2 linked regions of the Arabidopsis thaliana genome follow. The protein of the gene in region 1 purifies or fractionates together with the protein of each later gene. This does not show direct contact. Each region holds a gene or a part of one and is shown on either strand. Other genes may lie near its edges.

The links. Proteins that work in one complex are often made in the same cells at the same time.
Region 2: the proteins of AT2G20280 (region 1) and AT4G39520 fractionate together in Arabidopsis thaliana (co-fractionation; one large-scale study listed by BioGRID). This does not show direct contact.

Annotation. Positions count from the first base shown.
Region 1 is NC_003071.7:8,737,484-8,745,541, reverse strand, and holds AT2G20280 (Zinc finger C-x8-C-x5-C-x3-H type family protein), read left to right. Parts: upstream 1-2,891; 5' UTR 2,892-3,192; coding exon 3,193-3,363; intron 3,364-3,505; coding exon 3,506-3,590; intron 3,591-3,693; coding exon 3,694-3,834; intron 3,835-3,925; coding exon 3,926-4,017; intron 4,018-4,564; coding exon 4,565-4,756; intron 4,757-4,844; coding exon 4,845-4,975; intron 4,976-5,071; coding exon 5,072-5,174; intron 5,175-5,287; coding exon 5,288-5,488; 3' UTR 5,489-5,802; downstream 5,803-8,058. Other genes in the region: myosin-like protein XIG, read left to right, coding at 47-130, 227-397, 483-626, 724-885, 969-1,079, 1,158-1,228, 1,320-1,419, 1,501-1,557 and 4 more; AT2G20270 (Thioredoxin superfamily protein), read left to right, coding at 5,925-6,211, 6,322-6,395, 6,959-7,114, 7,274-7,300, 7,465-7,541; PSAE-2 (photosystem I subunit E-2), read right to left, coding at 7,898-8,002.
Region 2 is NC_003075.7:18,368,865-18,376,090, reverse strand, and holds AT4G39520 (GTP-binding protein-like protein), read left to right. Parts: upstream 1-1,851; 5' UTR 1,852-2,090; coding exon 2,091-2,132; intron 2,133-2,283; coding exon 2,284-2,337; intron 2,338-2,731; coding exon 2,732-2,908; intron 2,909-3,165; coding exon 3,166-3,237; intron 3,238-3,539; coding exon 3,540-3,599; intron 3,600-3,676; coding exon 3,677-3,786; intron 3,787-3,878; coding exon 3,879-4,178; intron 4,179-4,261; coding exon 4,262-4,453; intron 4,454-4,553; coding exon 4,554-4,605; intron 4,606-4,711; coding exon 4,712-4,762; 3' UTR 4,763-5,226; downstream 5,227-7,226. Other genes in the region: AT4G39530 (Tetratricopeptide repeat (TPR)-like superfamily protein), read left to right, coding at 1-1,355; CYP96A12 (cytochrome P450, family 96, subfamily A, polypeptide 12), read left to right, coding at 5,620-7,146. UniProt on the Arabidopsis thaliana protein: Binds GDP and GTP, and has low GTPase activity in vitro.

The DNA of each region.
Region 1 (8,058 bases):
AGTTCTGCTCCAGTTGTTTATATATCTCTAAAAGCCGTCTTTGCAGGGAGCGGAGTTTACAACACCACCAAGGATACAAGAATCAGGATCTGACACTAAGTCAAGGGGATCCCATATTGATCCTCAACATGTATGTTGTTTCGTTAAATTACTCTTTTATGTGCTTCTCATCTTTAATATATCCCCTCTTTGGTTGAAGAGAGATTTGTTGGGTTTTTTGGAAAAGGAGGATGTCGATGCCCTTATCAACTCTGTCACAAAGAATGTTGGATTCAGCCAGGGGAAGCCTGTAGCGGCATTTACCATCTACAAATGTCTTCTTCATTGGAAATCCTTTGAAGCTGAAAGAACCAATGTCTTTGATCGCCTCGTTCAAATGATTGGTTCTGCTATAAAGGTACTAAAATGGGATGCTGTCTTGTCTACGTCAGTACAAATCTGGTTTTTATCAGATTTGAATGATTAGTGATTCTTATTTTTAGGATGAAGATAACGACGCAAATTTGGCATATTGGTTATCCAATACGTCAACATTATTATTCATGCTCCAACAAAGTCTGAAATCTGGTGGAACCGGGGCCACTCCACTTCGACAGTCACCTTCCTTAGTCCGATGGATGACCAAGGTATATATACTCTTCTCTCTTTTTTTTTTCTTTTTAATCTTGTATTGATGAGTTTCTGCTCCAAAAGCTAAACAATCCTTACCTTATATTTTAACAGGGTTTCCGTTCTCCAGCGGCTGAAGCTATTCGACCAGTTGATGCCAAGGATCCAGCTTTGCATTTCAAGCAGCAACTTGAAGCATATGTTGAAAAGATTTTAGGAATCATTTGGGATAACCTGAAAAAGGAGTTGAACACTGTCCTTGCTCTCTGCATCCAGGTGACATGATCCACAATGCTTCTCTACTTTCATCTTTCCTTTGTATGTATGTGTTGTAAGCTGACATGAGAGAATCTTTCTAGGCACCAAAAACATTTAAGGGGAATGCGCTAATATCTATAACCACTGCTAACTACTGGCAAGACATTATTGAAGGCCTCGATGCACTGCTAAGCACACTAAAAGAGAGCTTTGTATGTGAAACTCGTTTCCACTCACTGCTCTTATCTCTCTAAATGTCAGGAAATTCTTATGGCTTATTGTTGTTACAGGTTCCTCCGGTTCTTATCCAAAAGATATTCTCTCAGGCTTTCTCACTCATCAATGTCCAAGTATGTAACAGGTGAGAAATTGTTATTGTCTATCAATGGAATATTAAATATGCATCTCTATGATAAGCAGACTATTATCAACCTCTTCTTTCTGATCTGCAGCCTTGTCACGCGTCCAGATAACTGTTCATTTATCAATGGAGAATATCTAAAATCTGGTTTAGAAAAGTTAGAGAAATGGTGCTGCGAAACAAAAGAAGAGGTAATCCCAAGTACAGTTTCCTTTCTCTTCTTTCGTCATCGTCAATTGGGTTAATACATAACACAATATCTCTTCTGATAGTATGCTGGCTCATCCTGGGATGAACTCAAGCATACCAGACAAGCTGTTGGATTCTTGGTATGTTTTGAATTTAAGAAATGTTGTCTAAGCAAATTTACTTGAATCTTAGTAAGAGTTTGTATTTCTCACATATTTCCCCCTTGAATTTGCGTCTGCAACAGCTCATCCATAAGAAATACAACATCTCATACGACGAGATTGCAAATGATCTGTGTCCAGTAAGTCTCTCTATCAACCAACTCTTTTACCGATAACTGGAGAACTTTGACATTGTAATTATGCTTACACCATTTTACCTTCACTCAGAACCTTCAAATACAGCAGCATTTTAAACTGTGTACTCTGTACAAGGATGAAATCTACAACACAAAGAGTGTTTCCCAAGATGTAAGCTTTCTGAGGAAATAGTTCTCTTCTCTTGACATATATGAAGATCCTCTGCTCTAGTAGTTTAATGCTTGCTCATCGATCAATAGGTAATTGCAAGCATGACAGGAGTTATGACAGACAGCAGCGACTTCTTGTTAAAAGAGGATTCTAGGTAAGTGTAGCTTTGCATCATCTCTATCTTTTGCTTTTATGATCCAAAGTCATGATGACATTTATCTTTCTAGAAACTAACAAAACCGTTCCTTTTGGCCATGCACAGCAACATCATATCCTTGTCGATCGATGACTTATGTAGTTCAATGCAAGATAAGGACTTTGCCCAAGTGAAACCTGCTGAGGAACTTCTGGAAAATCCATCTTTCATATTCTTACATTAGTAAGTAATTCAGAGAAACCAAAACTGCCACCCTTCAAGAACACCATGCAAAAGCATGAAGAAGAATCTCAGAGAAAATTGCTGCGAAGAAATTTTTAGATTCGCCGATTTGTTTATTTGTTTATCATTGTAATTCTCTAATCATCCCAGAGATTTCATAAAGAGTATATGTTGTTTTGCTGGGAGTAAACAAAAAGAGACAAAGCTTGGCTAATGGATTGTTCTTGTTGGTGTTGTGCAGTCTTTCTTTCATTATTTTCGTGATTGAAATAAAAATTTATTTCTTTTTGTAATTTAGCTCTTTTTTTTGGTTGAGTCTGAGAAGTTGTCTCCACCCATTTATGGTTTGTACAAAGGAATCAAGTTAATAGAAAAAAATTGCATTATTGTATTATTGCATTTTCTCATTATTGCATTATTGTGTTAATTTAAATCTTGATTATTATTAAAACATGATTATGATTCATTTTTCCTTTTTTTGGCAGCATTTTTTCATTCTTCTGGTTTGGAAATTTTATAAGATGAGTGACCTAAAACTGGGCCTTAAATGGACTATAAATTTAGGCCCATTTATATTGAGGTGAGCCCAACAATAGTAAAAGCTAGTGTTTCGTATCAGTGTAGACAAATGGCTAATACCAGGCAAATGTTGTACCTTTGTCTCATCTCTTTCTCCTATCTCGATCGGTAATTTTACTCATTAGGGTCTCTCTGTTTCTGGGCAAATTTTCTTCATCTCCGCCGTTTTGCTTCAATACAGATTTCTGGGATTTTTTTTACCGATCAAATTTAGGTTTTCGTTTTCACTCAGAACCTTAGAAACCCTAATTTTGATACATTAGCTTTAGAGAACCTTCCATCGGATCCGTGTACAATAAAAAAGTTTGCGTTTTTTTTTTCCTTAAATCGATTGAACGTGTTTGAAGATGCCTCCAAAGCAACAACCAAAGGCTGATTTGGCGAAGAAGCAGAAACAAGTGGAAGACAAAACTTTCGGATTGAAAAACAAGAACAAGAGCAAGAATGTTCAGAAGTATGTTCAGAGTCTCAAGCAATCTGTTCAGCCTAAACCCGATGCAACTAAAGCTGCAGCTAAGGTACACGTCTCTTGAGATGAGTTTTGAGTTTTCTTCATGAATTTGAAGTTAGGAGGCTAGTGGAGTAGATTTTTTGAATATGTCTAATGAGTTAGTGTGAGAGATAAGTTCTTACCAAGAAAAATGGTTTTTTTGAGGACAGAAAAAGAAAGAGGAAGAGAAAGCGAGAGAACAGGAATTGAATGAGTTGTTCAAGGTAGCTATTAGTCAGCCCAAAGTTCCTGTAGGTATGTATGTTGAATGTTGATACTGTTTCTCTGGTTTGTTCACTTTGGTTTCGGTATTATTTATTGAATACGGTGTGTTGTTTTTGGTGATGTATCTTGGCAGGTGTGGATCCAAAGTCTATACTCTGTGAGTTTTTCAAGGCCGGGCAGTGTCAAAAGGGTTTCAAGTGCAAATTCTCTCATGATTTGAACATTCAAAGGAAGGGTGAGAAGATTGATATTTACAGTGATACGCGTGATGAAGGTATAAAAGTGTGGCACAAAGTGTCTTATATATCTATCCCTTTGGTCCTTTGGATGATGGTCATATTTTTGCCTTTTTTATATGGCTTTAGATGGAGATATGGATGAGTGGGATCAAGAGACCCTTGAAAAGGTTGTTGAATCAAAGAAAAATGAATATAATCAGAATAAGCCAACAGATATCGTAAGTTGTTTCTCTTATCTTGTGTTTCTCGGACTTTTTATTATATGCTTGTCGGGACATGCTTATCAGTTATTAGTAGCTTTTCTCTTGTTAATGCACTGTGAAAATGTCTGAACTGGTTTGTGTTCAAATATACAGCCTTTTAACGTGTATTATGTGAAGTGATGCATTAGTTTTGGTTGCACTTGCTGTGATTAACCTTTAGCTGATGTGCATTCGCCTTACGATGCGCTTCCTTTAGCTAATAGCACGGTTCATATTAAGAGCCATTAGGGTCTTAGATGTTATTATGCCTCCCGTTGTTCCCTTGTGTTTTTCTGCGCACTTGGTTCATGCCTGACAAGAACTCATGCTTTTGGTGATGTTAGTGCTAATCATAATTTTGAAATAAATGTTTCTTAACTATATACGTCTATGCTAAAAGAAATAATATCTCTGCGTCTCATCTCAATAATCATCTCATAAACTTATCCTAAACACATGAGTTATTTGTCTCGCTGAGTTTTATTGACTTGTAATTGTTTTTGTGTTTACTGAAAAATAATAGGTTTGCAAGTATTTTCTGGATGCTGTGGAAAAGAAACAGTATGGGTGGTTCTGGTCATGCCCCAATGGTGGCAAAGAGTGTCATTACAGACACGCGCTTCCTCCTGGATATGTCCTTAAATCTCAAATGAAAGCCCTCTTGGAAGAGGAGTCATCGAAGAAGCTGGCAGTTGAGGACGAAATCGAAAACGAGGTTTAAAATACTCCTCAAGTTTCCCTCATAGCTGCTAGGACCCGGTACTTGATTTGTGAGACCCATGTTTTCTTGTTCTATGTTTCAGCGTGCAAAACTGCAAACCGCAACACAAATGACTCCTGCACTATTTATGGAATGGAAGAGGAAGAAAATTGCTGAGAGAGATGCCGGTTTGGCTGCTTCTCAAGCGGAGAGAGCTAAGAACGACCGTATGAGGTAATCCCCATTCATCATTCTGTTACATATCCATCTCCAGTGTGACTCTATTTTTGTCCTTGGAAGCTGATTCATTGTGTGGATTTGTAACCTCAGTGGTCGGGAGCTGTTTCTGTCCAATGCAAGCTTGTTTGTGGATGATGCTGAGGCTTGTGAAGAATACGAGAGGGAAAGAGAGCAGGAAGAGACTGAACAAAAGGTGAGCTCTCTCTCTCTCTCTCTCTCTCTCTCTCTCTCTCTCTCTCTCTCACTCACTCATCATTTAAAACAACCAAGTCATGTTAATGGAATCTTGAGTTTTTTGCTTTTCAGGCAAAGAACAAAGAAGCAGAGGCAGGGACAAGCAAGAGTAGTGGTGATGCTGAACAGAGTTCGAAAGAAGTCAATGAAGAAGAAGAAGATGACGATGATGATGATGATGACCTAGACATGGATGAGCTGGATGAATTGGAAGCAAGCTTGTCGAAAACATCGATCCAGATTCGTGAGCCAAACGACGAAGGGTCATCTTGAAATGAAAAATGGTCTAAGAGGAAGAGGTGGAGGAGAGAAAGCACATGTTTTGTTTTTGTGTACTTTCAATAGATTGGATTTTGCAGACACAAACCCCATTTTGGGGTGTTGAATAATTTCTGTTACTGTTTTACAGTCTTAAATGGCCTCATCAAAGAACTAGTAGTATCTTTTTTGTCCAATCATTTTCATCTTTCTTTGTTGTTGTTAATTTTATCATGATGTGTAAATAAAAGGTCGTAAACTTACTAGAGAAAATAAAAACTACAGAAATGTATTAAAAACAAAGAATTTTAATCAATTCTTATGAATATTTAGTTGTTTTATTGATATTTATAAATAAAGAACAAAAAATATCGGCGATATAAAAAGAGGTAAATTAATCTGAGGGCAAAAATAAGAAAAGCATCCAATTTCGTCGGAAGAAGAAATCGCCATGGTAGCCGCAACAGTAAACCTCGCGAACATGACATGGACGTCGTTAAATTCAAATCCAGCAATCTCTTTCTCCATGTTAAGCGGAATCAGAAACTTGGGCATGTTACCTTTCAGGAGATGTCTAAAGCCGACAGTTATCGGAATCGCGTCGTGGCCACCACTCCGTTGTTCTTCTGTTAAGGCTATGTCTTCATCATCGTCTTCGTCTGGATCGACATTGGAGGAGACTGTTAAAACGACTGTGGCAGAGAACCCTGTCGTTGTTTACTCCAAAACCTGGTGCTCGTAGGTTCACTATACTTTTTGGTTCAATTAGAGGAATGGGTTTTGTTAATTTATGATCTAGTTTGTCAATATTGATACTTTTACTGGGTTTGTTCTTTTTGGTGGTGAAGATACTCGTCTCAAGTGAAGTCCTTGTTCAAGAGTCTTCAAGTTGAGCCACTGGTTGTTGAATTGGATCAACTTGGTATGCTCAATTCTTTACTTTGGTTTGCTATATGGGTCTGAGTAGTTTGCTATATTGGTTTTGATAATGTGTGTGATATTGTTTATATCGATCAAGGAAGAGCTGGTTACAAGTGCCCTAATGTTTCAGCATTTTGACTGGATGAAATTAATACTTGTTTCCAACTTCTTCTTGTTTATCTTCTGGTTCATTTGGCTGCTTGCTTGAATTGGTTTGTATGTTTTTTGATTAGATTTTGATGGAGGATTGATGATGGTTAGGGGGGTTTCTAATGGCCTAAGATAGCTTTACATTTCAGAGATTCTGTGTCTTGTTTATGTGAAAAATTTACTTCCACTGTAGTTTTCCTTGGACCAATGACTTGTTGATGAAGAATCAACGGGTAGGCTAGTACTTCTAATGGCTTAAATTTTTCAAATTGAAGATTCTTTCCTGCCTTTGAATCTTAGACAGTATGCTTCTATTTGTTAGAAACTATTATGTTGCTATCTTCTTAGTTATCTTTTCTCGTGTCAAGATTTGGTGACTTTCCAAAACCATTTGTTCTTTCTTGTCTTGTTTAGTTTCTTTGGGTAAAACATCTCTGCCTCATGATATTGGTCTGAAACATTTACAAAAGTTTTGGTGGTTTTTGGCGTTTCCAGGTTCAGAAGGGTCGCAGCTGCAGAATGTGTTGGAGAAAATTACTGGACAATACACTGTTCCCAATGTTTTCATCGGTTAGTTGTTTCATCATTTAAGCCAGTTACTAACTATACTCTGATCATTTTTCTTGATTATTTTGCCTGAAAACAAAACTATCGATAAAATCTTAGCCACTACATTTGCTATGACCATCACTTATCTAATTTTGATATCATGTTTTTGTTCATGACCAGGAGGCAAGCACATTGGTGGCTGCTCAGGTACAATCTCTCTTCCTTTCTTACCTCAACACCGAGATTTTTCTAATATGTAATTGAGATCGTCTTTGTGTATTTTGGCACCAAGATAGATAGTACTCAAGATCTTGCTCAATGTCTTGTGATTTTTCTGGTAACTTGACCTGCATATCATTATTGTTGAACAGATACATTGCAGCTGCACAATAAAGGAGAGCTGGAAGCAATTTTAGCTGAAGCCAATGGAAAAAACGGTCAGACCTAGAGATTTCTAGAGATGAAACTGGTTGGTGATTCTTCATGTTTCCTTATTGAAGTCGAGATGATTTGCTGTTTGAATTTACTGTCTATATAGAGATTTTCAATAAGAATCTTGTGTTTCTTTCTACGTACAAAAAACAGTCAATGAGTCATGCTGGGTTCTGTTACTAAACCGGAGTTGCTGAGTTTGATCCACACTACTTGGAATTTGCAATCATTTTTGGGTGGCTAAATGCATATTTGGAAATCGATCTTGAGATTGTAAAAGATAAAAGATGAATTGTTGGTTAACTTTTTGGTACATACGGTTTTGTTTAAGATTACAAACAGACGAACCGGTTTAGAGATAAACCATGTCTCTCATTTTACTTCTTCCACCTCGTCCAATGCGTAGTTGTTGGTCGATATATTCGCGTAATTCACCTTGGCGAACCGGACCACAACCGGATATCGGGTCTTCGGGTCCTGACAATTTAGACCGGAATATAAGATGAAACGATATCTAACCGTTAGATCGTTAA
Region 2 (7,226 bases), on another chromosome or scaffold:
ATAGCTATGTGACTAACAGCTTGATTGACATGTATGCGAAATGTGACTGTTTGACCGATGCCAGAAAAGTTTTTGATATTTTCGCTGCTGCTGATGTGGTTTTATTCAATGCAATGATTGAAGGTTACTCGAGACTTGGGACACAATGGGAACTACATGAAGCATTGAACATCTTTCGTGACATGAGGTTCAGATTGATTCGACCTAGCCTATTGACTTTTGTTAGCCTTCTACGTGCATCTGCTTCTTTAACAAGCTTGGGACTGAGTAAACAAATCCATGGATTGATGTTCAAATATGGGTTAAACTTAGATATATTTGCTGGAAGCGCTTTGATTGATGTTTACTCAAATTGCTACTGCCTCAAGGATTCCAGGCTTGTGTTTGATGAAATGAAAGTGAAAGATCTTGTTATCTGGAATTCTATGTTTGCAGGTTATGTTCAACAATCAGAGAACGAAGAAGCTCTCAACCTGTTTCTGGAATTACAGTTATCAAGAGAAAGACCTGACGAATTCACGTTTGCCAACATGGTTACAGCAGCTGGCAACCTAGCAAGTGTTCAATTGGGTCAAGAGTTCCATTGCCAGCTTCTGAAAAGAGGCTTGGAATGTAATCCGTATATTACAAATGCTCTACTAGATATGTACGCCAAATGTGGTAGTCCCGAAGACGCTCATAAGGCTTTTGATTCAGCAGCTTCAAGAGATGTAGTTTGTTGGAATTCTGTCATCTCATCTTATGCGAATCATGGAGAAGGCAAAAAGGCTCTTCAGATGCTTGAAAAAATGATGAGTGAGGGAATAGAGCCTAACTACATCACCTTTGTTGGAGTTCTATCAGCGTGTAGCCATGCTGGTCTTGTAGAAGATGGACTTAAGCAATTTGAGTTAATGCTTCGATTTGGAATTGAACCTGAAACTGAGCACTATGTTTGTATGGTATCTCTTTTAGGCCGTGCTGGTAGATTGAACAAAGCAAGGGAGTTAATTGAGAAAATGCCGACAAAACCAGCTGCTATAGTATGGAGGAGCTTGCTGAGTGGATGCGCAAAGGCCGGTAACGTCGAGTTAGCTGAACATGCTGCTGAAATGGCTATTTTGTCTGATCCCAAGGACAGTGGATCGTTTACTATGCTTTCTAATATTTACGCGTCCAAGGGTATGTGGACTGAAGCTAAGAAGGTGAGAGAAAGAATGAAGGTTGAAGGTGTGGTGAAAGAACCTGGACGTAGTTGGATTGGGATTAATAAGGAGGTTCATATATTTTTGTCTAAGGATAAATCTCACTGCAAGGCTAATCAAATTTATGAAGTGTTAGACGACTTACTTGTGCAGATCAGAGGAGTTAGTTAATAACTACCATACAAGAACTCATTTTCTATTGGAGTGATGGACTCTATTTGGTTAAAGACCAATGCAGCAGATGAAGCTTAAAAGCGAGCCAAAGAAGAAAGAATAAGCCATGGTTAATATCGAGAAGCTGAAGGGGTAGCTAGCTCAGGAGAGCAAAGATGTTGCTATTAAGTTTTGTAATCAAGGGAAAATCGATTCTGTTCCGTTCAAATCCGAAGGAAGACTCAAAAATTAACCCCGGTTCAGTTCTCAGTTTCTTCTCATCATCTCCTAAAACCGGGTTGAGAGAGAAGTTGTAATGGTGAATGCATGAATGGTATGTTGTACATGATTCATTTGAATTTAGTTAAACCGTTTTTGAAATCAACTAAAACCGAAAAACACCAATTCAAAACAAAACAAAACAAAAATTCAGAACAGGGTTTATTGTATATAACCAAACTAAATTCTCATTCTGTTGTAAATTTTATTAAACCGGAAAACCAAATCGGACATATATGGGCCTAAAATGTTGTTGGGTCAGGCCGAATTCTAGACAGTTCTGTTCTAGTTTTTTCTCCTTTGTCGTAATCAGGTGGACGAAACGAAAACCCTCGGGATTCCTCTGCTTCTGTCTCGTCCGTCGTCGTCAATTTCTCTGCATCAGAGATTCCGGTGTCCTTCTTCCTTTCACTCGCGTATAACCTCTTTTCCTTGACGTTGTCTCCGTGAGCTCTCTGTGCTTTGACTGCAACCATGTCGACTATTATGCAGAAGATCAAAGAAATTGAAGATGAGGTAATTATTCAATCCTCTCTGATTCTTCACCTCTTCTCTTCAATTTTGGATGCATAGAACTGTGAATCCGAAATATCTATTCTGAATCAAAGAAATGATTTTTCAATCTGGGTGACTCACAAGTACGAGGTTTTTTTTGTTTATGTGGCAGATGGCTAAAACACAGAAGAATAAAGCTACTTCTCATCATCTGGGTTTGTTAAAGGTACATTTTTTCTCCTCTTTAGGTCGTTTTTTGTAGCTTTGAGAGTGAGGTTGATTGGTTGAGGTGTTTTTGCTTATCAAATGCAAATTTGGTTGATTGGTTTATATCTGTTTTGATACTTGATAAAAGCTATCATGAAATCCCAACCAGTAAGCAAGCTCATTAAGAAATATTTTAACTTCTGGTTGAAATCGTTTATGTTTTATACGAACTCCCAAATCATTGAATAAGCACAAAGCTGAGATATTTTATTTACGGCATGATCTCTTGTGAAGTTCCTTGGATCAAACAACTACTAGGCAGGCATTATATATTATTCTGTATTGATTTTAGAATTTGGTACTTATTCCTGCACCATTAGCTTCTCGTCATATTTCACTGGTCCATTTTGCAGGCCAAGCTTGCTAAGCTTCGGAGGGACCTTCTTGCACCGCCTACCAAAGGTGGCGGTGGTGGTGCTGGAGAAGGTTTTGATGTGACTAAAAGTGGAGATTCTAGAGTTGGACTGGTCGGATTTCCTTCGGTTGGAAAATCTACGCTATTAAACAAGCTGACTGGGACATTTTCCGAGGTTTGTAGTTATCGTTACGAATATTGAACTTCCTTTCTCTTGTTGTAATTGGAATTTTGAAACCTACCACGTATCCATGGCATCCTATTTCTAGTTACTTTTTGACCAACTTCCTGTGCAATATCACTTATAAGGCAAGACTGTTCGGCGCTAGTCTTTTCCTGGATAGATGAACATAAATCTTGGAATTAGAACTGTATTTTGGCTGATACTCAATTTTCTGAAGGTACATACTGTGATACACAATGTTTTCTCAGGTTGCTTCTTATGAGTTCACGACTTTGACATGCATTCCTGGTGTTATCACATATCGTGGAGCTAAAATCCAGGTATGGTATCTACATCTATGCGTCTGTGTTAATCTGTTATTTGTGGGGGAAAAATGATAATTCTTGGATAGTGTTTCCTCTGTCTTGGTAATTGTTGAAACACAATGAAATCCTTGGCTACATATGCCATGTCCTAGCTTGTAATTATCTTTTCTCGAGTCTTACTTCTATATTAAACATGTATCTTGCTTGATCTTTTAATGACTTCTTGGTACTTAGTTTAAGTCAGGAAACGACCTGTAATTATTCATTGGACACTGATGCTAATACTCTTTTTTATGTCCCCTTCTATGTGTTTGCAGTTATTAGATCTTCCTGGTATTATTGAGGGTGCTAAAGATGGAAAAGGTAGAGGAAGACAGGTAAGTCGAGTCTAAATCTCTTGAGTATTTTATATTTTGACCCTCTTTGATCATCTTTCACACTTTACTATTTCCAGGTTATAAGTACGGCTAGGACATGCAACTGCATCTTAATAGTTCTTGATGCCATAAAACCAATTACTCACAAGCGTCTCATTGAAAAAGAGCTCGAAGGATTCGGAATAAGGTATAGATTGTTTATATAACAACCTTTATACACTGTATATTTGATCGTTTCTGGTAGATAGTCTGACTCGATCATGGACTGTTGCTATGTAGGTTGAACAAGGAGCCACCAAATTTAACATTTAGGAAAAAAGACAAAGGTGGTATCAATCTAACTTCTACAGTCGCTGTCACACACCTTGACCTTGACACCGTCAAGGCGATTTGCGGTGAGTACAGGATGCACAATGCTGACATCACCCTGCGCTACGATGCAACCGCTGATGACCTCATTGATGTCATCGAGGGCAGTCGGATTTATATGCCCTGTATCTATGCTGTCAACAAGATCGATTCAATCACACTTGAGGAACTTGAAATTTTGGACAAACTTCCTCATTACTGTCCTGTCAGGTAAATGTTGTTAAATTACCGGCAGGATTTGCGATAAACTTGTTTACTTTTGCCATTAAGATATAAATTTATTTATCTTGCAGTGCGCATCTGGAGTGGAATCTTGATGGACTTCTGGACAAGATATGGGAATACTTGGATCTAACTCGAATCTACACAAAACCAAAGGCAATGAATCCGGATTATGATGATCCCGTAATCTTATCATCCAAGAAGAGAACAGTAGAGGACTTCTGCATCCGGATTCACAAAGACATGCTTAAACAATTCAAGTAGTAAGTAATTAAAATCCTTAACATTTTTCTTTTCTCTGTTATATGGTTCTTGCTCAAAAGCATCGCTCATGAATACTTAACTAATGATCTCCTGATACAGCGCTCTGGTTTGGGGTTCAAGTGCCAAACACAAGCCACAAAGAGTTGGAAAGGTTAGTTCTTCTAGCAAATCAAACAAAAGTTAATCTGGTAAATCGATATTGCAATATCCCTGACTAACTAACTATTGCTGTCTCGACATCGTATTTTATACTTCAGGAACACGAGCTTGAGGACGAGGATGTTGTTCAGATCGTTAAAAAGATATGATTTTTGCAGATAATGGAGAGCAGTCAAGAGACCAACCAAAGTAGCCATAATGAGATCTCCTATAGGAAGGTCAGGATTTCTTTTGGTTTCTCAGCTTTATCTTTCTTTTGTAATTGTATTATTATATCCAGACGAAATCTGTGTCTACACCCTTTTTTATGTCTTATTAGATACTTTTGTCTTCTTCCAATAATACTATTAAGCATGTGATTGATGTTGTCGGAACACCTCCTATTATCTCCAGTATGGGTTTGCCTAGATTTTCTCCTCCCTTGTTTTTATGTATGCAACTAGACTTTTTTGGATTTTATTTACTAAACATATGATTCAGTTTTTCTTCATGTAATAAAGAAAAACTGTTAAAACGGCCTTCATTGCACTGACCAGGTCGAGGTGTTATTATTTCTGACAGTTAGTTGTTACTTGGACTGTTGATTAAATTTAATGACATTAATAGATTTGGAAAACTATTACAACGACCTTCGTTGCAGTGTCTGGGACCGTGAATTCTGATGCACTTCTCGATTTGTCTATCCTCTTAAAGTTGGTTTGTCATTTAGTGTCTGAAATTGTAAGATTATGGACCCTTCTTTACAAGTCCTCCACCAATTCTGTCTCATCCATTTGTGTGGTTAGTAGCTTCACCAGCTTAACACTTTCACTAATCTTAATTCTTAAGATATGAAAAGCAGTTGAATGAATGCATTGGTAATTTCTTTCTTTTTTAATAAATTTTCTTTTTGTTGGTTGCTAATTTATATATGTAATAATCTTACTCTATATAAACAAGTTCCTTCAACACACAAAAGGAACCACCACCATATTGTGTCTGTAAACCAAGCTCCTAACTCTCTCATATGGCTTCTGTAAGCTTACTTGACGTTGCCATAGCCATCATTTGCCTTTTCTTCTTCTATTACATGTACTTCAAGAAACCTCATGGTCAGGTTTTTCGAAACTGGCCAGTTATTGGGATGCTTCCAGGCTTCCTGATGGTTCTCCACCGCATCTACAACTTCGGCGTGGAGGCTCTTGAAATGAGCCACTTAACCTTTCTATTTAAGGGACCGTGGTTCGCTGAAATGGATATGTTGTTCACAGTTGATCCAGCTAATATTCACTACATATTGAGCTCAAACTTCTCCAACTATACCAAAGGTGCCGACTTTAAAGAAGTCTTTGATGTTTTTGGAGAAATGATCTTTAGTTCGGACTCGGAGCTATGGAAGAATCAAAGAAAAGCTGCTCAATTCATGCTTAATCATCAAGGCTTTCAAAAGCTATCATTGAGTGCAACGAGGAGTAAGCTTTACGATGGTCTTGTTCCTCTTTTCAATCAATGTTGTGAGGAAGAGAAGGTCGTGGATTTGCAGCAAGTGTTTCAAAGATTCACTTTTGATACAACTTTCTTTATTGTTACCGGGTTTGATCCTAAATCTCTCTCTATTGAAATGCCGGAAGTGGAGTATGCTAAAGCTCTTGACGATCTTGGAGAAGGGATTTTTTATAGGCACATTAAACCGAAGTTCTTCTGGAAGCTGCAAAACCGGTTTGGGTTAGGGCAAGAGAAGAGGATGACTGAAGCTGATGCCACTTTTGATCGCGTTTCTGCGAAATACATATTAGCTAAGAGAGAAGAGATAAGGTCACAGGGGATTGATCATCATGCAAATGGTGAAAGTGAGGATCTTTTGACATCTCACATAAAGCTTGATACAACCAAGTACGAGCTCTTGAACCCGAGTGATGATAAGTTCCTCAGAGACACCATCTTAGCTTTCAATCTTGCTGGGAGAGACACAACGTCTTCTGCTCTCTCTTGGTTTTTTTGGCTTCTCTCTGAAAACCCTCAAGTTGTAACAAAGATTCGTAAAGAGATCATCGACAAAAATATTTCAAAAGACGGAAGAAATGGCCAAGAGAACTTAGACAAGTTGGTCTACTTACATGCGGCGTTGTATGAATCAATGAGGCTCTATCCACCGGTTGCCTTCCAACGCAAGTCTCCTATAAAGCCAGATGTGCTGCCAAGTGGGCATAAGGTAGAAGCAAACTCAGTCATCATAATTTTTCTTTTCGCGTTGGGAAGGATGAGAGCGGTTTGGGGAGAAGATGCAACAGAGTTCAAGCCAGAGAGATGGGTTTCTGAGTCCGGTGGGTTGAGACATGCACCTTCCTTCAAGTTTTTATCATTTAACGCCGGTCCGAGAACTTGTCCTGGTAAGCAATTAGCTATGACTCTAATGAAGACCGTAGTTGTGGAGATATTACAAAACTATGATATTGATGTTATCAAAGGACAGAAGATTGAGCCAGAACCTGGTCTTATGTTGCACATGAAGCATGGGCTTAGAGTCACAATTACTAAGAGATGTTCAGCTTGAAATTTGTATGTATAATGCTTAAATTAATCCTTTTTCCGTTGAAATAAAATCTATCGGAGATAGATGCTATAACAAAGGAT